6 separate regions of the Mus musculus genome follow, and regions 1, 2, 3, 5 and 6 are each reported to be linked to region 4. Evidence: microRNA targets listed by miRTarBase, many of them from high-throughput screens and not tested one by one. Region 4 holds a microRNA gene; each other region holds the end of a gene's coding sequence.
What was found. Region 4 holds the annotated microRNA mmu-miR-466j (UGUGUGCAUGUGCAUGUGUGUAA, at 2,753-2,775, opposite strand). A microRNA usually pairs through its seed, bases 2 to 8, with sites in the 3' UTR of a target mRNA and lowers its output. Matches are read on the target gene's strand: a 7mer-m8 pairs with bases 2 to 8, a 7mer-A1 pairs with bases 2 to 7 and ends in A, and an 8mer does both.

Region 1 (5,075 bases), not on the chromosome of region 4:
GATTATGTTATCTCTATAAAACAATATTTAAAATGCCATAAGATGGGATGAGAGATGGCTCAGAACTAAGAGCACTCACTACTCTTGCAGAAGACTGAGGTTCTCTCTGGCCCAACTTTCTATTTCTATCTTTTACTTACAGTTGGTTGGCTATTGAGGAGGAAATCTCTAAACTACCTGATAAATGCGTACTGTCCATTCCACTGCTGACTTATCTCCCCGTTTGACTTTTCCAGGACTTCCTGTCTGTATCAGATATTATTGACTACTTCAGGAAAATGCCGCTGTTGCTCATTGATGGAAAGAATCGAGGGTCCAGATACCAGTGCACACTAACACACGCTGCAGGCTGTCTGTAGCAAGTTAGCCAAGAAATGAGCCTTTCTGACTTGGTGGTCACTGCGGCGAAATCACGTGACCTTAGCAAATCGCCGAGCACTTAGGAGTAGACTGTTAACTCGGGCCCAGAGTTCTGCCCTGCCCTTTTAAAGTATCTGAAGATTGTTGAATACCACATGATTTATTTATTTTCTTTGATGTTTATAGAGTATAGAAGTGATCATGTTCACATTTGAAGTCTAAGAGTGCATGGCAGACATGAGATTTTGAACATCCATCCCAAAATACAGTACTTGATACAGTACAGAAATAATGTGGAGCAAGCTGAAAAAGTACTGAAACTGGTCATTTTTGATATATTTTATAATGAATCTTTTGTCAGGCCGAGGCATGTTCTGTTTTTTACACAACTTAAAATGATTAAAATTCATTTTGGAGCAGCAATAACTTAAGAGGCTCCAAAAAAAAAAAATAGAACTCCATCGTTTCTTATTTGGTTTTACAGGGTGTGTTTTTATGTGTTCCCTTTCGTAATGAGATTAATGCATGTGGGGATAACTTCCTGGGATTAAAGTTATCGTTTGCTTTACTTTTTTCGATCCTTAAGACAACGTTGTTTGGTCCTTGCTGTTATATTTTTATTTTAAAGCAAATGTAAGCTACCTTTCTGAACATACAAGAAGAAAATAGGCTTAGGTTCAGTGATGCAGCTTTGCTGTCAAACATGCTGGGCTTCTTGTTGCTTCTCTTATCACAGACCCTCATGTCTCCATCCATGGTGGCCTCCGTTCTAGTACTGAAGGTCTCCTGGGAAGACGAGCAATGCTTGGTAAACACACACACACGCACACACACACACACACACACACACACACACACACTTCGAGCCTACCTTCCTACTAGATGATACTTGCATTCGCTGGCCTTCAGTTAGACAGTTTGACTTTCTGGGATGGTCGCCTGTTCCTGTTCCTTTGGGCCTGCAACAGTTCATAGAGGATCATGAAGTGAGAATGTGAGGACATCCGTTCACTTCATGGTGACTGGGAAACAAAAGAAAGGACAAGAAGCGCATTTCCCTCCATGTCTTGCATCTTCTGCCTAACTGGGCTTCATCTCCTAAGATTCCACCACTGCCCAATGCTGCCCTGGTCGGGGGCAGGGGGCCAAGCTTCTACCATGTGGGCCTTTGGAGAATTCTATCCAAACCTCTGCTCTGGTTTTCTGCTTTATTAGCCCAACAAGTATGTTGCAAAACTGCTATCTTGTCCTCAGATTGGCTTTTAAACCCTTTGAAGCACCTCAGATCTCCTTCAGTTTTGAAATCACACTTAACAAAAGGTAGAGAGAGATTTCTGGCCTATGTTGGTTTAACTTGCCATTTTTGACTTTATGATGGCATGGAAGTGATGCTTGTTAAGCACGAACTGTACGTCAAAGTTTGAATTTTGCTTTTCTGGGGCTAGCAGCAGATGCTATGAAATGTAAGAGTCTTGGCTAGCAGGTGATCACCAGGGCACCCATCAGTACTTTACATGTTTTATGTTGAAGCTGATTTTTTTCTTTTTGTGGAGGGGCTGCTATGAACGCTCAATAAATTAAATAATGCATTCCATATTAAGACAAAATAGAGTTTGTGTTAGGGGACTCTGCCCAGCTGCAGGTTAAAGTGCATGATCTGAGCATGTTTAAGGCTGGTGAGTCTGAGCTCTGATGTTCAATAAGTTATGAACAGTAAAGAAATTCTCAATTCACAGACTTTCCCCTCACTACTGTAAGCTTTATCAAGATATCGTCAGTGTAGCGGGATGACAATTTGCAGTATTGTTTATGTTTAGCAACATGAACCTGGTACACACGGAGCAGTGACATCCCTTCTTCTCTCAATCTCATTCTCATGGGATGCCTGGCATCATTGCGTGGCATCATTGTGTGACTTTTATTGACAAAAGTTTGATTTCTGACCTACACAATTTTCAAGTAGGAAGGAATATTCTATACTTTTATTTTCATGAGTTAAGAAAACCTTTTTAAAAGGAACCAAGTTAATACTGAAGACACACTAAGATAAGGAGTAGGTCGAAGCACTTACTCAGTGACAATAATAATGTTGTTCTGCAAAACATTGCCCTTACAAAGCAAGAGTTCTCAATTTAGGAAGGATCCAGCACTTGGAAATGAGAAACCTGAAAAGCTTGTATACGTTTCCTCAGGAGGCTGTCCATAAGGATCTGCAGCGACTGCACTATGTGAGATACTGAGCTAGGTCCCGGGAGAGGGCAGCAGGATGCTGCAGGTTCTGATAGAGTAAGCTCAACTTGTGCCTTGCTTTACGGTACTCTGTATTTAAAGGTAATGAAAAGTAAGGACATGGTAGATCTCAAAGCATTTATTGGTAGTTACGATGGTTAAGACTGTCAACTCAAGTGGGTTTTAGAGTCACTTAAGGGTGTATCAGTGAGCATGTTTACAGAGAGGTTTAGATGAAGATGAAAGACACACTCTCAATGTGGGTTGAGTACATAGAGCACAGCACTGCTGTCTTTTCCCCTGTTTCAAAATGGTGGCTGCAGTATGACCAGATGCCTCACTTTCCTTTCCCTGCCAAGATCAACCGTATTTCCTCAAAGTATAAGTCCAAATCAACCCTTCTTCTCTTAAGTTGACTCTTATCAGATGTTCCTCACAGCACCAAGAAAGAAAAGCAGTAGATGACAGGAGACATAAATGTATTTGAATCTCTTAGAACAAAGGGGCAAAAATGAGTGTTGTGGGTAAGGTGTTCTCTTGCACCACTATAGCTGCAATCGGGGAATCTCTGTTTTCATGACTAGCAGCAACACGTGTGCTTTCTTTGAATTCTATTCAGTTCTATTCTTCTGCTACAGTCTTGCCTATCTGAGCCATGAGCCTCATGACACCAGCTTGGGTCATTGCTCTGCTCTTTGCCTACAGATTAATATCTTAGAAAAATTAAGTCATTCAGGACCCCTCTCTGAAACAGAAAATCAGTTCTTTTTAGGGTCACCCAAAGGCAAAGCTGTATGCTGCTGCAGTAGCACCTCCTTCTACCAGGACACGGAGGAAGGAAGCCCGTGTACAGCACAGCAAATACAGATAGGCCAATTCCCAACACCAGACTTCCAGCATCAGTGCAATCAATTGCCCTTTGAGGCAGTAAAACAAGCAAGCAAGCAAGCAAGCAAACAAAAAAACAGCTTTCAAGATGGCATGCTTACTTATAATTATATTAAATTATATCACTAAATTATATAATTAAATTATATCACTAAACTTAGTTCTTCCAGATTTTTTATTTTTATTTATTTTGCTTTTTTTTTTTTTCCGAGACAGGGTTTCTCTGTGTAGCCCTGGCTATCCTGGAACCTCACTTTGTAGACCAGGCTGGCCTTGAACTCAGAAATCCGCCTGCTTCTGCCTCCCAAGTGCTGGGATTAAAGGCGTGTTCCACCACGCCTGGCTGTTCTTCCAGATTTTTAAGTCAACAAAAACCAGAAATCCAAAAAAGACACACACACACACACACACAGAGAGAGAGAGAGAGAGAGAGAGAGAGAGAGAGAGAGAGAGAGAGAGAGAGTTAGTTCAGTCAGATAATCTGACAGAAGCAGGTGCTCCATCTGGAATCTCAGGCTCTTCAAATGGATGGCTTGCTTCTGCCTCTTTGTGGTCCTCTGTCTTCTTGGGCTGACCAAACTGAAGATTGAGGTCACAGAGCAGGATCTGGGAGAGTTCTGAGTAAGGGAGAAGATGGAGTGTCCAGTGTCAGCCCAACTCTTACTGCTTTAAGGAGTCAGTTCCTAACTTCTAATGACTTTTGTCAGACATTCACTGATCAAACTCCTACCTAGGTGACCCATTTGTGAGTTAACCACAGGTATAATGTGGAAGCTGACTAAAAGGTTCTTCACCCATCCACTCAGTTATCTTCCTACACTGTAACAGTATGTAAATATAGCTTTTGTTTTTTAAGATTTATTTATTTAATGCATGTCCTCAGACACACCAGAAGAGGGCACTGGATCCCATTACAGATGGCTGTGAGTGACCATGTGGTTGCTGGGAATTGAACTCAGGACCTGTGGAAGGACAGTCAGGGCTCTTAACTGCTAAGCCATCTCTCCAGCCCCATTTCAATATATCTTAAATCTACCTAACTCACACATGCATGCAATGCAAAGCATCGGGACAGATGTCTATCTTCAACTTTCTTAAGTCTCTTTTTCTTTGATTGTGTGTGTGTGTGTGTGTGTGTTGGTCTCCTCACCCCATGGTGGTGTGCCTATTAGTTTTTATTAATGACAAAAACCTGTCATATCTAGAGAAAGGGGATTTCAATTGAGGAGCTGCCTATAGCAGACTGGTCTGGACATGAGCGTGTGGGGACATTTTCTTCAATGATAGGTGAATGTAGGTGGTGCCATCCCTGGGCAGTGCCTGGGTGTGTAAGAAAGGAAACTGAGCAAACCAAGAGAAGCAAGCCAATAGGCTCCATGTGGTCTCTGTTCTATAAGCTGTAGGGTGAGGTTAACCCTTTCCTTCCCAGGTTGCTTTGGCTATAGTGCTGAAGCAGTAGAACACAGACTAAATCATGGTGGGTGAGTGTGTCAGTGTTTCTCTCTGTATAGCAAAAGGCATGGCTTGTTTTTCCCTTTCAGTTTCTGCTATTTGTGAAGACAGCACTCTCTTATTGACTCCCCACCCTTCCAAATATG
Region 2 (5,075 bases), not on the chromosome of region 4:
GAGCAATTATTAACTGTTGGGCAGAAGCCTGGGCACTGCGTGTCTTTATGTCATAACCCTGTGATCCTGCTGAAAGCCTCAGTAGGGGAATAGCTGCTGATCCAAGTAGTGGAGCGACCAGCATACGGAAAAGATGCAAGGACAGCAATTTTCTCATCCCAGCGTACAAATACTGTGTCTTGAGAGATTGTAGAAGCAAGAACTAAATTTGTTTCTCTTTTGGTGATAAGCATTATGAGCCCATTATTCAAGAAGCTTTAAAATTAAATCAATACATATACCTTTACATTTCATGTATGCTTCCTGCATAGTAATAGAAAATAGAAAAATCTACAAATAGCCAGCTTCCCAAAGACTATTACTAATGGAGTGCATTTTCTCTTCCGTTTATTTTTCTGCCCTCAAGTCTGCTCATAAGCAGTGGGGGTGGGGCCGTTTGTCTTCTCTATGACGTATGTGAAAGCAATGCTGTGGTGACGCTGGATATCATGATTGATGCAGGAGACATGGAGAGAGCTGAGAGAGCCTTCTCCATGGGGTGTGGCTGTCACAGACCCCGCTCAAAGTGTAAGCCCTGAGATCCCTAACGGTCTGCTTTTTCCTGTTCACAGCAAACCTTCTGGCTCAGAACCAACGCCAAAGTCCCGCATCGCAGACCTCCCTCCTGCCAACCCCGATCACATCGGTGGCTACAGACTTGCCACGGCCACTTTCGCTGGCATTGAAAACAAGTTTGGCCTTTACCTCCCCAAGTTTAAGTCTCCTAGCGTAGCTGTGGCTCAGCCCAAGGCGGCAGCAGCAGCCCAATGACATAGCAAGTACAGACCGAGGCCCAGGAGAACGGGCGGTACCGTGTCCAGTCAGCTGCATGGTACTGTCAGCGCTGGGGTCAACCACTTTCTATACGACCTATACATGTATTGTTTATAAAGTGATCATACGCCCAGGGAGAGCCGCAGTGCAGTTTCAAGCTTTAGTCTTTACGTGTTGAAATGTTTTCTGAGCCTTGGCATGAATTACGTGTTCTAGACTCTGCTTCGCACAGCTTGTACCTACAGTGACTGTACATATTGTACATCTTTGTACAGAGACACCTCGGCACCTCATCCCAACAAATCACGTTTATAAACATGAAACGCTGTTCTGAGTGGCTTGAACTGTACAGAAGGTTTTGAAAGTGTTTTATTATGAATCATGTAAGAATAAATGTACTAAAGTTAAATTCATTCTCCTCCTGATGACTTATGGAAATCAAGCAGCCATGTTTGAATGTATCCAGTTTCAGTTTGTTTTCCATTCGCGACTAGGAAGGTATTTGCTGATACAAGGCAGAGCGAAACTTAATGCTCACCACATTAAATAAGAAACGCGTGGGAAGGGTGCTTGCCCGTGGATGCCAGAGGATGAGCCGGTGACTCACGGGCTGCTGTGTTTCCAGTCGTTTGTAGCTGAGTGTAATCCTCCTGTCAGCTGGAAGCAGCTCCTCATGCGCGCGCGCACACACACACACACACACACACACACACACACACACACACACACACACACGAACGGGATGGGCTCCAGCAAGGCTCGCTTAGTTCTGCTTTTCTCCTATGCAGCAAGGTCAAGGTCAGGATGTTGCAAGAGTAAAGTTTGGAAGTTTCCCTTCGTAAAGTATGATACGAATCAAAAATAAAAGCACACCAAAATGTCTGCATGGAGTTGGTTTCCTTCCTAGGTCTCCTCTCGGGGCTTTTTTGTCTGCACTCGCCTGCTCCTAGGGGATGCATATTTTGTTACAGAAGGAACTCGGGTGGAGTGAGGGAGGGAAGCGGGGAGGTTCCTACATGGTGATTTTGTGAGCCTGGGTCCTTGCTAGGAGTTCAGATGGAGATGACTTCCTCAGAAGGTCTCTCTCTCTCTCTCTCTCTCTCTCGTGTGTGTGTGCACACACACACACATGCCCATATTTACTCTTTAACAATTGCTTCTGACCTACAGCCACATTTACTGTGGCTGTTACTTGATAGCTGGCAACATCAGGACTTACTAACTTTAGCGAATAGCTCTGGGAAAGCACGGCTGTGGCCATGGCTGTGAGGATATATGCAGATATCATTAGAGGTGAACCTGGAGATGGCCCAAGTCACCAAGTGCCCCTCACAGTGCTCACCAGTTGGTGGCTGACAACCCTGTATCTGCAACTCTGAGCTTTCTTGAAACCCTAAGAACAAAAGATATTTGAAAGCTGGCTATTTCTAAATGTGTTGGATTAGTCCCATTAGAACTGAACACACAGCATAATTAATTGTTCTTGCTATGCTTGTTAAAATTATACAAGTAGTTCAAGGACATGAAATTACATGTGTGTCTGTGTGTGTGTGTCTGTGTGTGTGTGTGTGTGTGTGTGTGTAAGACGATGACAAAGTGCCCTCGCTACCTCCTCTTCAACCAGCATTCCTGTCATCCTTTGCTGAGAGGTTAGAGCATAAATTTGTGATCTGTTTTCCATACATCTCCATATGTACATATTTATATATTTAGAACCAGGGCTATGCAATGTATGTGTGATTCCGTGACTTGGTTTTCTTAGTATGTCCCTGAGCTCTTTCCACATCAGTTTATAGAAAGTGTATCCTGTTTCTAGTAGCTGTGTATTATTTCACTGTATGGATTATGAAGCCTTTTTAAAATAGTCATTTCATTATTATTAACAACACTGTAGTTAGAGGAGAATATCTCTGTGTGTGTGTCATGATATGTTATTGTATATTAGTATTTGTTAGGGACTAATTCATAAAATAGACGGGTTTTTTATTTTGTATACATCTCGCCACATTGCTGTTCACAGAGGTCTCAATCTCCTGCCCCATGGGCAAGTTAAGATTGCCCGGTTCACAGGCAGATCATAAACAGAGGTCACTGTTGCAGTTTTTATTTTTCTAATTGCTAATGGGCTTGAATGAATGTCTTTTTATTGTTTGTTTGTTTTTTGAGACAGGGTCTCACTCTTGCAACCTCAGAGTCTGGGAACTCCCTATGTGGATCAGGCTAGCCTTGAACCTGTGGTAACCTTTGGTCTCCCCAATAAGGTGCTGGAATTGTAGGTGTGGGCAGAACATTCGCTGTCTTTTCATTTTTACTGGTCATCTGTACATTTTCTTTTTGTAAAATATACAGAAGGCATATGAAGTATCTAAGGCATAGACACAGAAAAGTGCATACAGGTTAAAATAGTACTCATGCGATGACCAGGTCAAGAAATACAACATTCTCAACCAGCCAGAAGTACCCGTGCACTTCTCCCCAGTCTTTACCCCATCCCCTTACCATGTCTTCATTTCTGCTTGGTTTTCCTGCTCACATATACATCCTTAAATACTGTGGTCCTCTTCCCCCTTTTTGAGACAAGATCTACCGTGGTCCAGGCTGGCCTCTTGGATCTACTTTCATCCAGGCTGGCCTCTTGACTTGTTTCTTGTGCATCAATGATGCACATATGTCTATGTGTATGCGAATATGTACACATGTCACAACACATGTGTGGTTGAGAGGATAACTATTGAGAATAAGTTTTCTCCACTTTCCATGTGGGGTCCGGGATTTGAACTCAGGTCTTCAGGTTTGGGCAGCAAGAGCTTTTACCGGAGCCATTTTGCCAGCCCTGACCTATTCTTATTTATTTTTTTGAAATTTGTATGAATGAAATTGAGACTTCTTGTGCTAAATACATATGAGAGTTTGTCCATTCTATTATAGGATGCATTATTCTTTACTTTCGATCTTAGTCTTGACTGACATTTGTTTTCCCAGTTTGTGATTATTATAGACAACGCTGCTATAGATAATGTAGACATCTATTCTTCACTGTGCCTCTTTTTTAAAAATGTGTGTGTGTGTGTGTGTGATGCACCATATGCATGTCAGTGGCTCCAGAGCTCAAAAAAGTGCCAGACCCCCTGGAGCTAGAGTCACAGGTGATTGTGAAATGTCGAACGAGGGTGCTGGGAATCAAACCCAGGTTCTCTGTAAGAGCAGAAAGTCCTTTCAACTGCTGAACCATCTCTTCAGCCCATGATATTCTTCATGTTTTGGATACTACTATGTGTTTGTCTTACACATTTTCCTACTTTGTGCCATGTCTTTTTATGATGGTTTTGATATACTAACATTTTAATTTTAATATGTCCAAATGTATTGGTATTTTTGTTAGCTTGTTGAGCATCTCATTAAAAAAATTATTCTTTATTGTTCTGGGACTGTTGCTGAGAGACAGCATGCTTGCCTAGCGGCTACAAGACCCTGGGTTCACTCCCCAGAACCACCAGAGGGTAAACACCAGACCTCTAGGTAAAAATGATAAAGTTATTTTCTTGTTATACAGTTTAGAGTGTTGCCTTTCACATTCAGGTTCCATGCAGTTTGGACCTCTCCTCGTGTCTCTGGCAATGTGGGGCAGACCTTTGTTTCTCTGATTGGCAGCCAGGCTTGCCAGCACTGTTTATTGAACGCCTGTCCTTTCCCAGCGGCTCTGGAGCATCATCGTTGTTGTTCACTAAGAATCAGCCTGGGCTTCACTGTCTCTGGGCTCCTTGCTGTAGGGCTCTCCTGTCTTAGATGCAGGTTCTCGCCCTACTCTGTTCATTTCTGTATCCAGTACAATGCACGCTCCTGATACACAGTGTGGTACTCGTCTCTCCTGTTGTTTGAGAGCTATGATTCTTCCTGGTTCTTCGCTCTTCTATGTATATTTTATCAGCTTATCAAAACCGTTTTAAAAGCACTGATAATTTAAACAGTAATGAATCTATAAGCTGCTTTGGAAGAATCTGTGTCATGATGGGGGCTTCTGATCCAGGAACATACTATATCTCTACTTAAATATTTTTCATGTCTTAATAAAAGTTTGTGCTCACCAAAGGAGTCGTGTACATCTCTTGTTATATGTGCTTTTAGGAAACTCATGCATTTGAATACTATAGATAATCTCTCTGTGTGTGCATGTGCATTTGTGTGTGTGCACATGCATGTGCATGCAGTGTTAGGGGTTCACTACAATATCTGTGCATGGTAGGCAAGCCCTTCTGCATTCA
Region 3 (5,075 bases), not on the chromosome of region 4:
CAGCAGAGAAACCTAAGCGCTCTCCCATGCTTCTGGCTGGTGGAAGTGCAGAGGGCTCATGGGAGCTCTCAGGACTCATCACCACTGTGGACATCCCATATTGGGCTCATCTGTCAACTTTCAAGTTCATGGGTGATTTCTGGAAATTGCACACATTGTCACAGAACATTCTCCTCTGCAATGCTTTCCAGGGGGCTCCCACACCATGGCTGGAGCATACCCAGGTACAAGCCCCCACATCCTCAGCTCCTTCCTCCACAGCCTCCCGGGCTCTCTTGCCGCCCACACTCTCCTCCTTGGGCTTGTCTACTCAGAACTGGTGTGCGAAGTGCAACCTAGCCTTTCGCCTGACAGCTGACCTGGTCTTCCACATGCGGTCACATCACAAAAGGGAACACGTGGGCCCTGACCCACATTCTAAGAAACGAAGAGAGGAAGTTCTCACTTGCCCCGTTTGCCACGAGTACTTCCGGGAGCGCCACCATCTGTCCAGGCATATGGCTTCACATAGTTAGCAGGTGGCTACAGAGGAAACCGATGGCCATAGTATCCAGGACACAGTGGTGAGGCACAGGTGACTACCGGCCTTTGCTGAGAAGGTTGTCATAGACTTCTTCAAGGTTGTTCCTTTTGCTTCCCAGACATGAACTGCTCAGTTATAATTTGTCAGGTGTCCCAGGCCTCGTGATGTGTTTAATGCACAATATGTTTAGTCATGCATTAAAGTGATAAGCTTCACTCATGGGATAGTGGGACCCATGGCTCAGGGAACAGGGCTGCTCCTGTCTCTGTCCCCAGTACTCTGCAAGGAAGCACATGAGTATGACATCGTGGCTTTGCTGATGAGCAAGCCTGCACTCAATCTATGCTTTCAACTATGAGCCCTGACCTCGGACCTGTTCCTTTAGCTTGCTGAACCTCACTTTTATTTTGAAAGTGGTGTGTTAGCAGGATGTCATCAGAGTGGCCCGCTTATTCCCTGGTTGACTGTGAGCATTAAGCATATGGATTGTATAGTCACTGCTTGCACTAGCCAGCTACGTCATTCATGAAATCTCAGGGATGAACAAACATTGTGTTTCTCTGCCACAAGGCTGGGGATGGCTTGGTGGACATAGCTCAAGCTGCACTCAAGTCTAGGCCCTTTTGCTGCTGGGTCATTATGCTGGATATAGTGAAGCCCAGAGTGGAAAATACCGAGAAAATGGGTCACAAGCCTAAGTTTCCCTGGCCCTACGTAAATCCAGGCCTAAAGGGGCCGAGTGAAAAAGTGACCTGGCTGAAACCCTAACAAAGGAGTGGGGGCTAGTAATACAGCTCCCCCCATTCTCTGGGTATTCACACTGTGAATGTGTGAGAAGAGAGAAACAGAACACACATCATTTATTCTGGATTTTATCCAGGTGCCATTCATCCTTGTGGTTCTGAGTAGGGCAGGAAAGAGCAAGTGGAGGGTCCTCGGAATGAGGTCCCCAGGCGGCACTTCACATCCTCTCATCTGTAGGACACAGACAGTGAATTCTCATCCTACTGCAGATGAATTTCAACTTAAAAAGGCTATTGACTTTCCCAACACCACTTTGTCAGGAGCATTGGTGGAAGAACAAAATCCCATGAAGCCCCAGATCTGAGCTCAGGTCTTTCCAGCCGCTTCATGTCTGCTTAGCTAGCATGGCCATGGAGCGTACTAAGTGACTCAAGGTCTGGAACTTTGAGGCTGGGCTCCTTAAGTTCAATTCCAACTTAACCTTGCTACTTTACAAGACGTACACGTGCTCATGCACGCGCATGTGCACACACACACACACACACACACACACACACACACACACACACACCACTCTTCTCTTGAGCACTTTTCTCCATCTTGTATACTAAATAGCATAGCGACTTATCCTGTCCACTGTAGCTCTCCTCTCTAGAATAAAAGGGAGTTTTGGTGTATTTCCATCATCTAGAACAACACAGACACTCAACAGGTATCTGTTGAAAGAAAGAATAAACACATAAGTTAACAAATGAACGATCTGCCTGACTCTGGCTTTGCTCCTGCCAACTCTTGAGTTGGCTTTGAGGAACAAGAGGTGGCATCTGTCAAAAGCACACTTACCTTGAGCCCACACATTGGCACTGATTTCTATGCCATCTCTTTGGAAAGGGGAATGGTCCTGTCATAGCATACAGAAGATGCTTAGAATTGATGTTGACACAAGTTGCTTTGCAGCCAGATTTACAAGTTCAAAGATGTTTAAAAGCCGGTGACTTAGGACTTGTTAGTGACACAGTCCCTCAGAATAAGCATGCTGGGTTCCCAGGTGTCCTCTGGAAGTCCCACCCCCTCTCCTGTCTCCCTTCTTCATGCCACTTGCTCCTCCCAGCGAGAAGGCACTTTATTTTTATTTTATTTTTATATTTTTCCATTTTTTATTAGGTATTTAGCTCATTTACATTTCCAATGTTATACCAAAAGTCCCCCACAGCCACCCACCCCCACTCCCCTACCCACCCACTCCCCCTTTTTGGCCCTGGCGTTCCCCTGTACTGGGGCATATAAAGTTTGCAAGTCCAATGGGCCTCTCTTTCCAGTGATGGCCGACTAGGCCATCTTTTGATACATATGCAGCTAGAGTCAAGAGCTCCGGGGTACTGGTTAGTTCATTATGTTGTTCCACCTATAGGGTTGCAGATCCCTTTAGCTCCTTGGCTACTTTCTCTAGCTCCTCCATTGGGAGCCCTGTGATTCATCCATTAGCTGACTGTGAGCATCCACTTCTGTGTTTGCTAGGCCCCGGCATAGTCTCACAAGAGACAGCTACATCTGGGTCCTTTCAATAAAATCTTGCTAGTGTATGCAATGGTCTCAGCGTTTGGAAGCTGATTATGGGGTGGATCCCTGGATATGGCAGTCTCTACATGGTCCATCCTTTCATCTCAGCTCCAAACTTTGTCTCTGTAACTCCTTCCATGGGTGTTTTGTTCCCAATTCTAAGGAGGGGCATAGTGTCCACACTTCAGTCTTCATTCTTCTTGAGTTTCATGTGTTTAGCAAATTGTATCTTATATCTTGGGTATCCTAGGTTTGGGGCTAATATCCACTTATCAGTGAGTACATATTGTGTGAGTTCCTTTGTGATTGTGTTACCTCACTCAGGATGATGCCCTCCAGGTCCATCCATTTGGCTAGGAATTTCATAAATTCATTCTTTTTAATAGCTGAGTAGTACTCCATTGTGTAGATGTACCACATTTTCTGTATCCATTCCTCTGTTGAGGGGCATCTGGGTTCTTTCCAGCTTCTGGCTATTATAAATAAGGCTGCTATGAACATAGTGGAGCATGTGTCGAGAAGGCACTTTAAACCATGACTTCCCAACTTAGGTCTTTCATTAAATAAATAAAAAAAATAGTCTGGATATTTTTGTTTTTCAAAATTTATGTGAAAATTCTAAGGTGGGCCGTTATGAGATTGGGACTGATGCTTTATGGGTTCTAGAGGGCAAGCTCCTCACTGTCTCTCTGAAGACGCAGCTAAAAAGAGCAATCTCTGAACTAGAAAATGGCCCTCACGAGAGACATTACATCTGCATACACACGACCCCTTTATGATCCAGAACAATAAATTCCTGTTGTTTATAAGCCACTCAGTCTATGGTATTGTGTTATAACAGCCTGAACAGGCCAGGCAGCCACCTACACACAACTCAATTATGGCTTCTTAGGGGTATAGAAATAGTTCAGTGGTTAACAGTGCTTGCTGGTTTTCCAGAGCACCCAAGCCGGGTTACCAGCACACAGGTCAGGCAGCGACAACCACCTGTAATTCCAGCTCCAGCTCCGGGGAGTCTGCTGCCCTATTGTAGCCTCAGGGGGCGCCTGCACACATGTGGCACAATCACTCCCACTCACATAAATAAAACGAATTCTTGGGAAAATGAAGGCATCTAAGAAGTCCTCAGGGGCCGGGGGCTATGGCTCAGTAGTAGAGTGTTTGCCAGGCATGCGTGAGAACCAAGGTTCAATCTCCAGAATGATGCAAAAGAAAGAAAGAAAAAAAAGAATTTGAAAATGAGGCGGAAAGACAACATTCCGAGCTCAGATCAACTTACTAGATGAGGCCTTTGCCAACAACTCCTACCCAAGGACTCTTAGTGCTTAATTCAGACCGTCGTTGAAGTTTTCTATTTAGTGTTGTCCTTATCTTGGAAACAATTAATATCCATCTCAGTGCCAGGTCCTAGTTCCGAACTTGTTACAGATTCCTGGGTCTTTAGGTCAAGGGTCCGAAGTGTAAATGACTGTGTGACTAGACAAACAAATGCAGGTGAAGGTGCCAGGGCACAGACACGGTGGTGGTGCACCTTGGCGTCCGGTCTTGCATTGAGCCTGGGCCGGTCACCTGGGGAAAGCCGCCTCAGAGTCAGGCTGGAAAATGGACTGTAAGAAAGGCCAGGAGTCAGTGTAATTGTCAACTAACTCGGCGGCTGTTTAAACACAGGCAGGCTGATAGGTGCCTTCCTGTGGTGGCGTGGAGGAGGAGGAGGGTTTCCTGGAGCAGGACTGGGGGGTTGGTGTGACTGGCTTCCGTTTACTGCATTCTGGTAATGTGAGGGGCGCGCTCAACATGGCATGGACTTGCGGAACCGTGTTAGTGTGGAAGGCAAAGAAACCATCACCCGGTGCCTCTGGCTCTCACAGGTTTCCAGCTGCTGTATTGGGCAGAAGCCAGGCCTGACCCTCATAACCTCACTCATTCATGGGTTCTGGAAGAGAACTGCTACTCAGGGTGAAAGTGTGAGAAGCCCAACTCCAGTCGCGGCCTCCTTTCATCCCATTGGGAAGAGATGGCGCCCCCTAGAGGCACCTGTAAGTTATTTACCAAACAGATTAAACACAACTGCATCGTTTTTTTTCACAATTTTTGTTTTTTAGGGTTTTTTTTTTGTTTTTGTTTTTGTTTTTTGCTTGTTTGTTTTTGTTTTTTTTTTTTTTACAAGTCATGGGATATAGTCTAAAGGCCATATAGTATATGAGATATGAATCTAATAGACCACTCCCCTATTTAAGGAAGTTATTCT
Region 4 (5,075 bases):
GTGAACTCACTATCACTCAGAGGAGCCATTTCCATTGTGGGATAGTCTCAGCTCTAAAGTCCCCTACAGAGCTACGTCACTAGGTGTCTTACATGCTGTAGCCATATGGATTAAGCCTCGTGCTTCTCCAATGAGGTAACCTGTAGCCTAGACTTGGGTCAGACCGATGGTGGCATTTCTTTGTGTTCAGTTCAGTGCAAGGGGAGAGGCAGATTGTGGAAGAACAGTGGAGGGAGCATTGCTCTTGGGGAAGCTGCTTGGGTGCCCCCTGTCTGCCTGAGTCTGTGGCTTTAACTAAGGCCCTCCCCACATCTCTTTCTCTGGCCAATGGCTTGGTCGCAAACTAGAGGTAAGTGGAGATTCATACAGGTGCGTAGAGCTTCTACTTCTCTCTTGAACCTGGACACCATGCATAAGAGCAAGCCCGGCCCAGCTTGATGGGGTGATGCAAGGACCCAGCTGTCCTCTGCAAGGTCCTCCTCCAATTTTTTTTTTGGTGTTGTTGTTGTTTTGTTTTTTTGTTTTTCAAGTCAGGGTTTCTCTGTGTAGCCCTGGCTGTCCTGGAACTCATTTTGTAGACCAGGTTGGCCTCAAACTCAGAAATCTGCCTGCCTCTGCCTCCCAAGTGCTGGGATTAAAGGTGTGTGCCACCACGCCCGGCCCTCCTCCAATGTTCTAATGCTAGAAAGGCCTCCAGCTCACCACAGGCACCACAGTGGGGCTACTTAATGGCACAAGCCTCATCCCATCAGCCTGCTGACCTGAAGCCTCACAAGGAATCGTGGTCACAGCTTTATGGTAGCGTGTACAGAGGTTGGTCACTGTCTTAGGATTTTACTGCTGTGAACAGACATCATCACCAAGGCTGTTTTTATAAGGACAACATTTAATTGGTGCTGGCTTACAGGTTCAGAGGTTCAGTCCATTATCATCAAGGTGGGAGCATGGCAGCATCCAGGCAGGCATGGTGCAGGAGGAGCTGAGCTACATCTCCATCTGAAGGCTGCTAGAAGACTGACTTCCAGGCAGTTAGGAGGAGGGTCTTAAAGCCCACACCCACAGTGACCCACCTACTCCAACAAGGCCACACTTCCTAATAGTGCCATTCCCTGGGCCAAGCATATACAAACCATCACAGTCACCTACCTAAAGGTGGCTAAGAGTGCTTCTCCAAACTGTCCATTCAGCAATTTTGGCCATAGGACTTCAGATAATTCATTTTAGGAGTGCAGGAAGTAAGGGTCAGGGTTGGGGGTGGTCACGCACTGGCCTAGAATGCTGGAATCTGGTTTTGCGTTCTTACCCATTAAGTGGGTTACTATGTCCTGTTGTTCTTGGAGAGTCGTGATGGTGGTTGTGGAAGTATGTGGCCAACATTGAAGGGAACCTAGAAAGACTGGGGCTCGGGAGGGTGCACAATTGGCCTGTGTGGCTGATGTCCCCAGGCTGTGTGCTGGGGCTTAGCTAAACAGAGGGCATGCAGTCTATTAACCCAGCTCACCTCCTGCTCAGAGGTGAGGCTGGCAGACTGAGTGATGGGCAGGCCAGAAACGTATTTACAAACATCCCTTTCACCTTCGCTTCCTCGGGTAAGCCCCATTGGCGGCATATAAATGAGAATCAATAGGCCAGTTATTAAACCGTAAATATCCCTCCCCTTAGGCTCTCGGCAGGAGTTTGAGTTCTCAGTAGAGGGTGGCGGAACTGGAAACCCATTGCTCTGGCCTCTCAGCTGACAGGAACACCCACATGGGGTTTGCCAGCCTCAGCCCACCCTCACACCAGCCACCCAGAATGGAGAAGACATTGCCAAGATTTTGAAGATTAGAAAGATGGCAGATCTGAATATCGAAAGAGCCCTCAGACTGCCACAGGATATTTACAGAAAGCGAGCTGAGTGGGCAGGCCCAAGTCCCTCTTCTGCCTGGTCAAGATGGATGCTTGAGGCAGAAAGGGACTGAGGGCGCTCTCCACACCCTGACCCTTCCCATGAATGGACAGACAACTAAGATCCCCCAAAGCGGGGAGGACGCATCCAAAGACATTTTCAGAAAGTGACTTGGACCCAGAAGTGTGGCCTTGAGTCAGTGCCACTGTCTGTCACGGGAGAGAAAGTGTACTACAGGGTGACAGTAGCTTAGGGGACAATAACACTGTTTTCTGAAACATGTCATGAGTCAGCTAACAAGGAGATGTGGGTGGGACATAGCAATGAACACGGGAAAAGAAAGATGTCTAAAGAAGCCGGGGTAGATGAAGCCTGGGGTGTTAGGGAAGCTCAGTAGGGAATGGGGGGGCTAGGGATGTGTGGCACCTGGAGAAGAGAGAAGGGACAGGTAGGCCTCTCTCTCTCACACACAAACACACACAGTGCACAAACACATACACACACAAACACACATGCACATAAGCACATGTGAGTGCACATGCATACATACAAACATGAACACATACATACACACATGCACATTTACACATGCATACACACATATAAACACTTATATACACATGCACACATACACACAAACATATATACACAAGCACATGTACACACACATACACAAATGTAGACATGTATACACACAGCTATACACGGGGACACACATGAACAGATACACACAAATACGCACACACATACACATACATACACACATGCACACACATACACGCGTACATATACCCACACACACGCATCCACAGGCACTTAAACATACGCACACAAACACACACATGTATGCACATATATACACAATTACACACATGCACATGCACACACACATACATACACATGCACACACATAAATGTGCACACATACACACATGCACAAACACACGAATGCACACACACACACACACACACACACACACACACACACACACACAGAAAGAGAATATCCAGGGACCCTGGTAGGCTTCCTGCGTTCCCTGAGTGTATGTCTCATGGTGGCCGTGCATGGGGCAGAGGGCATGGAGGATAAAGAGAGTCCATTCTTATTTATCTCACTTTATACAAGAGAAAGGAGTAACGGACAATCTAAGAAGAAGTACCAGATTAAGGAAAGACAACCAGAGGTGACACTGGGATGAGATGGTGATATGATGGTGGTGAGGGTGGTGGTGGTCGTGATGATGACCATGGTGATGATGATGATATGATGGTGATGATGGTGCTGGTCATGATGGTGCTGGTGGTGCTGGTGATCATGATGATTATGGTGTTAAGACGCTGCTGCCTGAGAGGATAATGATGGTAGCGATGCTGACAGTCACGATGCTAGTACCGTCACTTTCCAAAGTCTTTCTGTCATCATGCCCTGTCCTAGCTTCTTTATCACCATGCTGTTAAATTTGCCACTAATCCTTAAGCTCCTGAGTATTTCCTCACATCTAAAGGGGAATGGCAGGGGGCTGGTAGCGGTGGCCAGCTCGAGGAAGCCTTGCATGCCTGGCTAAGATGTAGGATCCACCGTGAGGTCATGAGGAGCTTCTCGCTGTGGGCAAGGGATTGTCTAAGAAGAGACATCTCCTGCCTGTTTGTTACCAGACTTTCAGGCAGGGCTGGGGTTACCTAGAAGAGCGAGATCTTTCTCCTGGCTGTGGCTTCTCTCGACAGCTCTGCCTCTGCCAGGGCTCCTTGTCCTCTCCAGCACTGAGTATCTTGGGTTTGCTTCTATGAGGAGCCTCCTGTCCTCAGTTCACATGGTGACATCTAATTACCCAGTCTGTGGACTGCCTCTCCTTGACATATCTATAGTAGTGGACAGAGCAGAGCAAGGAGCTCCTCCAAACCTCGTCAGGCATAAGGGAAGTCTCCATCCTGGGGAGACTCTATCCTTGATACACACTGGAATAAGTGGTACACCCTGGACCACTGATGCAGCTTTGAGGCAGGTGAGCCTGGCCAGGCATGGATACACCCAACACTTAATGTCTGGATGCTTCCCCACATACGCAGAGTTGGAAATGCCTGGGTTATACCTCAGGCACCCTCCCTGCCTAGATCTCATGTGATCAAGATCTGGAAAGCACCTTTCTCACCGAGGGTAACAGCTGACATTGCTGTTTAGGGCTGGCTCAATCATCCACTAGGCAGGGCCTGTATCGTAGAGGCAGTGCTAACTCCTGTCAGCTTCAGCATCTTTGTGTAACTCTGTGTCGCTATGACCAAATGCCCAGCACAAACAACATAAGGAAGGAAGGGAAGGCTTATTTTCGCTTGGGATTTTGGGGGGATTTTAATCCATTGTGGTAGCATAGGTGTGGTGAAGCGGTTTGATCCGTGGTAGTGGGACTGTGAGAGCTCAGGCTGGACCAGGAATGCAGAGAGTTCTCTAAAACCAGAAGCCGCTATCACCATCAAAGATCTGCCTCCCTCTGGTCACCTATATCATCAGCCAACCTCTACCTCCAAAGTTCCCACAGCTCCCCAAATTAGAATCACGAGCTGACGACCAAGCATTCAAAGTATGAGCCTGCTGGGGGACATTTCAGATCCCAACCATGACAATTCCAGTTACACTGAGTGTCTGAGGTCAGTCAGGGAGCTGAGGCAGGATGGGCTCCAAAGGAAAGACCCCTTCCCTGCTGCCCCTTTCTCGTGTTCCTGGGAGACTATCTAATTCTTCCTCACTCCCCCACCCCAACTCTTGTCTGCTTGGTGGTTCTGGTTCAGGTCCAGGACCTTGTGTCACCTCTGCCCCCTGGGACAATGGCTGAGTCTTCTTCACCCAGGACTAAGGATATGTGAGGTTGAGGAGATAGCTCGGTGGGTAAAGAACTTTCTGTGCAAGTACGAACATCTGAGTTCAGGTTCCCAGCACCTATGTGAGAAGCCAGGCCTGGCGAGGTACATCTGTCACCTTAGTGCTGGGAGGGAGAGACAGACGGATCCAGGGCTGTGCTGGCCTGCAGTGTACTGAGCTCCAGGGTCAGTGAGAAGCCCTGTCTCCAAAGGTAAGGTGGAAGGCAGAAGAGAATGAACTCAACGTCAATCCATGGCTTCTACATGAGTGAGCACACCTGAACACACACACACACACACACACACACATGAACACACACACACACAAACACAC
Region 5 (5,065 bases), not on the chromosome of region 4:
AGGCATGGCAGCAGTCAGGAAGCAGAGGGAGAGGAAGCCGGTCCTTAGCTTGCTTTCCACTTTAGTCAATCTTGGAAGCCAGCGCAGGACGGTGTTACCACAGCCAGTGTAGGATGTTGTCACCACAGGCAGGATAGGTCTTCCCTCTTCGTGACCCTGATCTAGAAGCCCCTCACAGACAGGCCCAGAGGTTTGTTTCCATTGCAATTTTAAATCCCACTAAGGTGATGTAAAGATTCATCATCACAGAGGCAAAGAGGGGAGGGAGGGGCATCCTCAGGGTGACAGAGGCAGCAAAGAAAAGGGCCCTGAGTGGAGTCGGGTGTTGGGTGTCTGACTCAAACTTGCTGTCGGCGGGGAGAAGGAGTCTGTGTGAGGAACGGGCAGAGAAAGAACTGTGGCTCTGGCTTTGCTGCTCGGGTCAGTTAGTGGTCAAATAGTGATGACCCTTAAGTAACCTCTTCTTCCTACCGCCAGCCCTCAGCAGCCCCCTGCAGCTCCTGGCAGCCCAGGCAAGTTCATCCACTCCAGTGGTCATCACCCGGGTGTGTGAGGTGGGGCCTGAGGAGCCAGCAGCAGCCGTCTCAGTAGCCGCTAATGCAGCGCCAACCCCAGCCGCCTCCACTACCACATCTGCCTCTTCTAGCGGAGAGCCCGAGGTCAAGAGGTCCCGGGTAGAGGAACCCGGTGGGACAGCCACCACACAGCCCACAGCTATGGCAGCCACCGGCCCTCAGGGCCCGGGGACCGGCGAGTGAAGTGTCGCCTGCAGGAAGGTGGAGTGAAACTCACGCCACAGGAGCCCTAGTGGCCAGCAGCTACATTCAAGGACCGAGTGGAAAAGCCCATCACAGCCTGCAGCCCTCATGTGGGTGGCCGCCGCACTCGGACAGTTTCCTTTTTATCTCCTGTCCTCCCATGGTTTGAAACAAACACATAAACACGTACAGACAACTTGATTGTATGAATCTGGGGGTTCTGTGTGTTTATTTACCCCTCTCTCATGCCATCGCCTCTCCCCAGTTCTTGGGGGAGAAGGTCTATCTAGCCCAGCTCCTCAGGAATGGATCCCAGGCAGCGCCCACAACAAGAGCCTGAGCCCCAGGCCTGGACAGAAGCACAGTGCAAACCCAGGCTCCTCTCTCTGAGAGTGGGTCCACGGATTTCCTATTTGTGACTGATCCGGGAATAGACCAGAAAACAGAATGGCAAGAACTTCCCAGCCACAGGCTAGGATACAGAGCCCTCTCCCCAAAAGTGACAGAGACTGTGGCATTAACTGGGGTCAGGGAGATCTGCTTTGGCTTTGGACCCTAAATATTTCTTTCAGCTAAATATGGAATCTGGGCTCATCTCCAACCTGAGACACACAGAGCAGACCATGTGTCTCTGAGGTTCCCTTTTGTAGGCAGCCAAGCAACACCAGGCCCTGCGCTCGACCACACCAGGCCCTGGTGAACATGCCGCTCTCCCTGATAACTCCAAGAAGGATGGGCGGCTCCCACATTGATGGATCAAAGAGCTCTGGGTTGAAAGTCAGCCCAGGGCCAGTGCCCACAGCACTGAATGAGTCGAGAGCTGCAAGCTACAAACGGATCTCCAGGGAAGCCTGAGCCAGCTGCAAGGGAAGTCGGTCAGCCACTTGCTCAGCAGGAGGATGATGGATGGTGGGTGGTATGCGGCAGGAAGACAGCAGAGGATCTGGGCGGTGATCTGCTCACACCGTCTCCTCCCCCACCCACCCCACCCCCATTCCAGTTAACTGAGAACCCTGTCCAGTTTGAAAATGGAAACCCTCTTTTCTACCTGACCGTTATCCTCTGGAAAGGAAACTACCTCTCCGGACAGCAGTCGGTGCCAAGTTTGAGTACAGTGCAGCAAGAACCAAAGCGTGGGTGTCAGCTGAGGACTTGGACGCCCGGGGAAGGTCCCTTTGCATGCCGGACAAGTGACCAACAGCACTTTAACATACACCACACCAAGTCTCGTGAGCAGGAGCCATCAAATGTTTCTCTCTGTGAGAATGAGAGTTGATTTTATAGAAGCAGTCATGGGGGCTGTGCGACAGGAAACTCCAAAGCAGCCAGAAACTCAGTGTTGGTCCTCCTAGAGGGTGGTCGGTAAGCAGCTGGCAACAACTTGGACAGAGCCCCAGGCCCTGTCGTTGGTATCAAACCACCCACCAGTCAGCCGCCTTCTCTGCCTGGTGCCGGTCAGAAGAGGCCCAAGGGCCCTGTGGGCAGAGAGCAGGCTGGACAAGCTGCCTTTGCTGGAAGGGACTCCAGACCTGGAGGCTGTGGTCACAGGAGAGCAGATGACCGGGATGGATAAGTCCAAGCTCCGATGTATGGCTGCTGCCATTGAAGCCACCAGTGCCCCCCACACATCAGGGACCAGGGCGGAGCACCTGCCTCCTCTCTTGAGCTATCTCCCAAGCTCCCCAGCCAGTCATTTCTGTAGTACTCGGCTTCAAGCCAGTGTTTTGGAGGTCTCCTGCCTATTGCCTGGAAAGGTTCAGAGAAGTGGGGCTGGTGTGATGGTGGCTGGGGGAGGGGTTTCCCCTCAGAGGGGGCAGAGGGCTGGCTCTGTCTCACATCTTCCCTTGGTACCTGGCATGAACTTCTCTCTGTGTGCCTGGTGTGAGCCTGGGGTTAGGGAAGAACGAATGGGGTGGAGATCTGAGTTGCGTAGTGGGCTGAGGTGACAAGGGACGTTGGTGCCAGCTGCTGATCTTTCCCTCCATCACCCTTTACTCCAGGGCTGTCCATGGTCACCCTCCAAGGCAGATTAAGATTGTGGATGGTCATGAGCAGGTTGCTGTCCCAGTTCCTGAAACGTGGGCTCCGTGCTCTGAGGCAGATCTTCACCATTAACAGGGGCGTGGAAGGGTATGGAGAGAGAGAGAGAACACACACTGTCCCGGTACACGGCCTGACGGCCTGGTTGGACAGCCTGAGCTACAAGGAGGCTAGACTAGTGCTGCTGCTCTGCGGAGTGGGTTTGGTCATCTGCTGGGCAGAAGCTGGCACCAGAGCGTGCTCCCACAAGCTCTGAGCCAGGAGGGCCATGTCCACGCACTGTGTGGCCCATGGCTGGCAACCCTGGAGCACCCCACTAAGCCCTGGGTTGGGGGAACAATTCAGGAACAGATGTGAAGCCTTTATAGACAAAGGAACCCCTTGGGCAGTGGTAAAACAGTGTAAGGTGGGGGTTAAAGGTCAGTGAAATGTAAGAAGAAACCCTTCCCCATAGAGAGAAACGGGTGGATTGTTCCTGTTCTTCCTCAAAATCCTCAAATTTCATAACACCCACGTGACATTGCTCGCCCAGTCCCTCCCTCCCCATCCGAACTGCACAGTGCCTGCTTAGAATAAGTCAGAAAGGGGTGGCGTCTCAGCTCTAGTGAAAGGTCCCTCATGTGTGGGAAACATCACATCCTGGCCAGGAGAGGCAAAGTCACCACAAATGGCCACAGGGTACCCCGAGGCTAGGTCAGGGGGAACAGAGCGGCCACCTATATCCTCACCTCCGGTCTCCCAGAATACCTCTGCTTAGAAGCAATATTAAAAAGGATAAGTCAAGCTGTTCCAAAGATTGCCACTGCAGACACCACTTCCCTTCAGAGCAGGCCCTCTGACAGGGACTTTGGCTTGCTGGGCCGGGTGGGCGGGGCAGAGAACAGAGGCCTTCTGCCTGCTGCTTCAGTCCTGCTCCCCATTTAATGCCCCCTTTCATCTTGGGAGTTCTCATGAACTCAGGGTGGGTCTTGCACCCACCTGCTTGTTGGGCTCTAGATTGTTTTGTTTTGGGTTTTGTTTGTTTGGGTCTGTCCTGCAAGGTGAGCTACTAGGCCAGTGCTCTACCACTGGCTGTACTCCCAGCCATTTTGATTTTTTAAACTTGAGATGGGACTCACAAAGCTGCCCAGGCTGGCCTTGAACTCCCAGTCCTCTTGCCTCAGCTTCCTGAATTTCTGGGGTGATGGCCTACATGCTACCATGGCCCAGCGCTGTTTGCGTTTTGTCTTTTTTTGTTTGTTTGTTTCTGTACCAAAAGCTGCTACACTGGTGACACAGCAGGGTGTGGCCTAGGTGCCCCCACAGACTGGCATATGGCACGTCTCTCTCTCTCTCTGCCCTCCCTAACCCCTAACGTCACAGCTGCTTGGCAAGGGAACATTTTTGAACCAACCACAGATGTTTCCTTAGGAAAAGTAGGTTTTCTACTCGTGGTGAAGAACAAAAGCCCCCTGAGTGGTCCTGGCTGCTCCTCTGCATTGCCTCACTGCTCCAAGGTTCCCTCTATCAGGCCTCAGCTCTACTGCAGGGAACATTCTAGAACCTGCCCCCCACACACACACTCCCCCCCATGGGCACGGGGCATAACAGCCTGGGCAGGCCTGTCCCACAGATGAGGCCAGCCGCATGCCTTCTCCAGAGGTACCATCTGGGCACGAGGCAGGACAGAGGATGCTCGAAGGGAGGAAGCGGCCAGCTAGAGGGAGAGCAGTTTGGTAAGAGCTAAGGGGAGGTAAGCCGGTGGGACTGGAGGCTGAGGGCTGCCCTCACAGCTGGTGCCGAGCCAGCAGTGGTAAAGATCCCTCAGTGAGGAGTCTGTCTGTCTGTCTGTCTCTGTGTGTGTGTGTGTGTCTCTCTCTCTCAAAATACTTAGAGTGCTTCAGTCACAATGAAAAGCATGTGTTTCTGTACTTGGGCTAAGCTGTCAAACACAGGCTGCCTAGGGCCCCCAGGACCTCTTCCCCTAAGTCCTTGTCTGTGTGTGCACGCACACACACACACACACACACACACACACACACACACACACACACACGCACACCTGCCTTGTGAGAGTTAGAGGACTAGAAGGGCCTGCTGCTTTACCTCTGGAATCCTGTTCCTGTGACTACTCACAGGTGACCAGTGTGGAGGAATCTGGGGCCCAGGCACCCCAAAAGCCTGAGTGCAGACAGTGGCCAGGTGTGGTCCACAACCCCATATGTGAAGCACTTACCACCATTAGAGCAACCTCAGCACTGTCCCCTGTGTCCCTGGGACTGGCTGAC
Region 6 (5,075 bases), not on the chromosome of region 4:
CAGAGCGACCCAGGTTTTTGAATGGGTATCGCTAGCAGATGTACTTTTGTTGCAATTTGGGGAATGGTGATTCAACAAGAAGAACACAGCCCTTGCAGTCAGCTATGAAGCTTAGAATCAAAAATTTTTGGTAATCTAGTGCCTTCAGTAGTCAAACTGACAAGGCCAGTAATTTAGTGTGGGAATTCCAGTTCTCCCAGTATTTCCTAAAATCCAATATAGTGTGGGGAATGCAAGTGGCCTCTAATTCGATGGCGTATTCCTTTTGCCCTCCACATTGCCAATGTTAGTTCTTCCTTCTCCATTTTGTGTGCACGCGCGCGCGCACACACACACACACACACACACACACACACACACACACACACAAACACAAACACACACAGAAGCCCCTGGCTGATAATGCGAGTAGCTTTGCCATCAGTTAAGTGACATTTCCCTCCAATGTTTCAAGTGGTTATTTTTATCCAGTACTTATATGACTGAAAGGAGCCATCACTGTGTTTACAGAAATACATCATAATGACACACACTGCTGTTGCGACACATTTGCATTAGAGCTGTGACTCAAGCATCCCTTTTGACGTGTTTGCCAAGCAGCTTTGGCAAGTGTTGCCACATTAAGCACACAGCAGGAAGACTCACACGGTATGTGCAAACCCACTTTCCATTACATTTCTACAAACCCACATGTGAAAGCTGTCACAGACTAACACAGACCTGTACTGCGAGATGATACCGCACTGAGGAAATTATACACTTCAAATTCTAAGTCACCAAAAATGACCTTCAAACTACAAAAAAAAAAAAAAAAAAAAAAAAAGTCAACTGATCTATAGAGAAACTAAGGAGGTAGCCAGTGGGTATCAGGGCTAGTCTAGAGCACATACATGGTTGACTCCCTGTACCGCAAAACACAGAACTCAAATGAGGGTCATGTTTGCGTTCTGGACATAATTCACACCTTCCCAGGAGTTTTGTCCACTTTCTCAGTTGCAGAAGAGGCACAAGTCATTAAATGGCAGGGATACGCAGAAACCACACACCTGCAGATTCCTAAGTTTAGGAGTTATTGTTTAGATTTTGTGTTGACAGCAAATCATTCAAGAATCATTACTGGACTGAGAGAAAACCACAATCCAATTGTGCCAGTGCCGACCACCTGATGCCATGCATCCAGCTGCACCAAGTAAGACTGCAGTAACCTGTCTCCTTGTCATCCTGACGAAGGCATGGCCTCGGTGCAGATCACTGAAGGGTAAGGGGCAGTCTACAGGAACAGCCCACTAGCGACTGGCAGAGGCACGCGCTTCCCTCACCACCTGACCAAGAGATCAGCATGCTTTTACTCCTCCACTCTCTACCATAGGGAAGCCTTAGGAAACACATGGTGACAGTCCCCTAAATGCTGTGACCGACGAGGAACAGGGCTAAGGACTTGTAGAAACAGCTACACTTTTCTTGATACCACGAGAGGCTCAACACCCACAAATGGGCTGATGAGAAATGGGGCCTTATCAAATGTAAAACTCTGCTCCCCTCCACAGGTCCCTGGTCTCAGTCCCCTGACAGCTCATTCCAGGGCCATCATTCTCTTGGCAAGATCTGTGCCTGAGGTTAAACACTTGTGAGAAGCAGGCATTTTAATTTCGAAAATGAAGGATACACCAGGAAAGCACCACTGTGAACTATCGAGCCTTGGACACTGGGACTCCGGACCTACCCAATCACTGACGAAAACGCCACATTCAGTTACACCAGCCCGGCAACCACATTTTCCTCACCAATGACAGGGCACAGCTGCATCCTGAGATATTTTTAACTCAAGTCTACTTCCAACCAACGCTGAACGGCTCAGGGTAATTCTAAAAGTTGACAGAGGACTAGGTTTTGCATCACGAAAACAATGTGTCTGACTGCCAGAATGACGTGGAAAAGCAAACCAAGTCAATTTGACAACATCTTCAGACCTCTAGACAACAAACTCAAGGCATGTGGGGAAATCAGGGTAGTCAGCTTTAACAGGGAGTTCTGCCAGAAGCGGCACCTTTTGCAGGCTGACTTAATAGTCAGGGGACCACACAGGAAACCACTATGACTTGAGTAGCACCCCAGCCTTAAATGGATGCCCACACAGGGAAAGAGCCAGCAGAAGGCTGAAACAATCCTAAGTGTTTGACTGCTGGTATCAGGTGGTAAACTAAGCTGAAGAAAACAGCAATCACATAAGCAGGCAGAAAAAAGGGACACTTGACTAGGCTAATTCTAGGCCCTCATGTAATTACATGTGAGAACTGCTACGGCGGAGGTCAGCATTGTAGTCCTTAGTTTCCACATATGCACAACAGCTAGGTTCCCGACACTGGAGATTTCCTAGGCCAGACTTCCCAGACCTTGGATCACACACAAGAAACACCCCTTTCAACATCATATTGAACGAATGCTCCAGATGTAATTGACAACAGCTCATCAGTAGTCCACTGCACTTCTTATTATTATCATCCAGACCTTGCAATACAGTACAGGAAGCAGCGGGTGCCCTCTGCACATCTGAAGCAAGTGGCAAGAACCCTTGGTGTAGGTGTACCCACAAATGATTTAGATACCCCCTTCCTTAAAGCTACATTTGATAGTGAAGGTGATACAGGCTCTTAGTCAACTAAAGCTAATGTCCGCCTATGCAGAGATGACAATTAGAAGCTGCATTGACAAAGGCTTGTCCCAGGGCATGATGCTACCCAGAGTTGGTGTTGAGATCAGAGCCTTTAAAGAGGTGGAGGAGGAACTCAGGCCTCTCCATGGGGACTGTCTGATTCCTTATGCTAAGGCTCTAAGGCCCTGAGGCTAGCTCCTGCTAACTTCCCAAACTTAATGTAAAAGTTGCAAACTCGTGGAAGAGAAAACTCGATGGATCATTTAAAGACTACAAGACAACCAAGGGAAGCTTGTCCAAGCTTACTGACTAAATAAACCACCAAAGAGAGGAACGGGACTCAGCAGAGCAGATAAACAGCAGTATGAGAAGTCTTCGGTGCTACAGATGAGGATTTTAACAAGATGATAGTGAGTGCCCCAGACCAGCAAGAAGCTATCAACATTAATGCTATCCTGGATGTTATCCGGAGACAGTTTTTATAGTTAGGAAAAAACAAACAAACAAACAAACAACCCTTTCTCTTGGACAGCCAAAGACACTGGTCTTGGGTCCACTGTAAATGACAGCTCATTTACCCATTTAATTTCTTTTACTTCTAAACTGTTCAGCTGATTTGTTCAATATTTGCTAAATATTGAATCTAAAGGATGCGTGATTATTCTGACAAAACTGGCCTCCCCAAAAGTCCTTTCTAAACGGATACTCACAGTCTGAATTTCTACCCCATTTTCAAAGCTCTTTGCTGTGTTTGTAGATGACACTCATAATTTTCACAAACGCTGCCCATTTAGCTTTTGGTTCCACAAAGAACATAGTAATCTTGATTTGTTTAATAAAGCCAGTGTTCTCCGCAGGTCCAAAGCGTAATCTCCATCAGTAACAATTATAGCACCTCTGTAGCCTTTACTAGGAAGTGGTTCCCAGGGCATCACTAACCTCACATACGGATTCCACAAATTAAGCAGGGAAGCAGAAGGGTAACTCAGAGCTTAGACCGAGGAGGATGTGCACAGCTGGATGGGGCGTTTTCATCCATGACAATGGGAAACAGAAGTTTTATATATGCTAAACCTTCACTCAGCCCAGCAAAGGCCTCAAATTTCAGAGAAATCACCCACCAGCCATTGCATAGTTGTCAGAACGGCCTTGACGCTCCACGTCTACAATACCAGACCCCTGATCAACAGCAGATGCCGTCGTTCATGCCCTGCGTTTGATCTTACTCAACAGCCAGCTTGTGGGAGTTCTCGCTGAACCCACCACCCCGGCACTGTGTCAACGAAGTATGACTTAAGGCTACGGAAGCTGTGCGTTAGGAACTTATGAAACGAGGCATTGGAAAATGGTTTTCAATCTTTGGATGTTTCCTAAAGATATAAAGAGAATCTCCTGCTTGTCAACCACAGCGAGGAGGTTGCCCTTCTGATGGACACAGTGAGTTCTGTCTGTAAGGTAACAGAAAAAGTAGCCGACGTCCACACCTACGCGCTCTCTATAGACATGGCCTCTGTTCTGGATTCTTCCCGTCAGCGTTTAAAACGGATGGAGGCTTACAGTGTCACCTAGCTTGTGTCTTTGCTGGGAACTCTGAAATGAAGTCTTAGGAAATCGAAGACAGCTTACTTGTTACAGTTGCTCGTCTTCCCTTCGCCCATGTGCAGGAACACTAACTGAGCCTTCCCTGGAGACCAGCTCTGCTCAGGGGGCCAGGCTTCCCTGAAGATCTGGGACTGGAGACACCCTCAATGCCTAGCTAGAAATGACTTCATGCCAAATGTACATTTTCCTCTGTGATATAACACACCCCAAATCTACTGCAGGTGCTAGAGATTTCCCCCCCGAAAATCCTAAAGTGGATTCCTGTTTGGGAACTGTGGCAGTGGGTCAAGAGTTTTAAGTCCGAGAATGTGTAAAGTGTGACGGAATTACATGCTTTGGACTCTAAGTGACATGGGAATGGACATTCACAACTGGAGCTCTTACACAAGAAACCACACAGCACTGGGACGATTGTGTCCACTAGTCCCCAGATCCGTCCTGTGTCTTGCTGAAGACCTCATCCTGGGAAGCCTGGTGATCCATCCCTTCATAAAACGAGCCACCGTTGTGCAGGAAAGTCCCCACGGCCCGCCCCTGTCGGGCATGACCTACAGCATCGCTGAACACTTTGTTTATCTGCTCCTCCGAGGGCATCCACCAATCAGGGTTTGAGGTACAGTGCATCCTAATGAATTCTGTGGGAACAGAAACAACAGTAAAGACGAGAGAGAAAACAGCTGGTTTTTGGACAGATGATACGAAGGCAGCTTAGCCTACACCAGAGGCAACTATCAGCGGAGTCACATGAAGGTCCCCAGCAATGCAATGACCGCACCACTCACTCCATCCAACCTACCCCACGCCAGTGTTCTCGTCAGCA

Region 1: miRTarBase lists Lcp2 as a target of mmu-miR-466j. Seed matches in the 3' UTR shown: 7mer-A1 at 1,185-1,191.
Region 2: the mRNA of Slc25a12 is a reported target of mmu-miR-466j. Seed matches in the 3' UTR shown: 7mer-A1 at 1,497-1,503.
Region 3: miRTarBase lists Zfp488 as a target of mmu-miR-466j. Seed matches in the 3' UTR shown: 8mer at 1,792-1,799.
Region 5: miRTarBase lists Foxk1 as a target of mmu-miR-466j. Seed matches in the 3' UTR shown: 7mer-A1 at 4,786-4,792.
Region 6: miRTarBase lists Bend4 as a target of mmu-miR-466j. Seed matches in the 3' UTR shown: 8mer at 308-315.

The regions. Positions count from the first base shown.
Region 1 is chr11:34,090,329-34,095,403 of GRCm38, forward strand. It overlaps Lcp2 (lymphocyte cytosolic protein 2), which reads left to right. Exons shown (of 21, transcript NM_010696.4): 21 at 237-1,953. The coding sequence ends at 359. 4930469K13Rik (RIKEN cDNA 4930469K13 gene) reads right to left here. Exons shown (of 5, transcript NR_155520.1): 3 at 1,232-1,319. Among named protein-coding and RNA genes, the nearest start is that of 4930469K13Rik, 5.7 kb to the right of the region's middle.
Region 2 is chr2:71,270,890-71,275,964 of GRCm38, reverse strand. Slc25a12 (solute carrier family 25 (mitochondrial carrier, Aralar), member 12) reads left to right here. Exons shown (of 18, transcript NM_172436.4): 18 at 612-1,695. The coding sequence ends at 810. Among named protein-coding and RNA genes, the nearest start is that of Dync1i2, 61 kb to the right of the region's middle.
Region 3 is chr14:33,965,631-33,970,705 of GRCm38, reverse strand. Zfp488 (zinc finger protein 488) reads left to right here. Exons shown (of 2, transcript NM_001013777.2): 2 at 1-3,636. The coding sequence ends at 515. Among named protein-coding and RNA genes, the nearest start is that of Zfp488, 11 kb to the left of the region's middle.
Region 4 is chr10:60,958,502-60,963,576 of GRCm38, reverse strand. Mir466j (microRNA 466j) reads right to left here and starts at 2,854; the gene lies at 2,733-2,854.
Region 5 is chr5:142,455,999-142,461,063 of GRCm38, forward strand. It overlaps Foxk1 (forkhead box K1), which reads left to right. Exons shown (of 9, transcript NM_199068.2): 9 at 478-5,065. The coding sequence ends at 758. Among named protein-coding and RNA genes, the nearest start is that of Ap5z1, 5.4 kb to the right of the region's middle.
Region 6 is chr5:67,393,561-67,398,635 of GRCm38, forward strand. It overlaps Bend4 (BEN domain containing 4), which reads right to left. Exons shown (of 5, transcript NM_001164806.1): 5 at 1-4,890. The coding sequence ends at 4,676. Among named protein-coding and RNA genes, the nearest start is that of Gm33345, 9.4 kb to the right of the region's middle.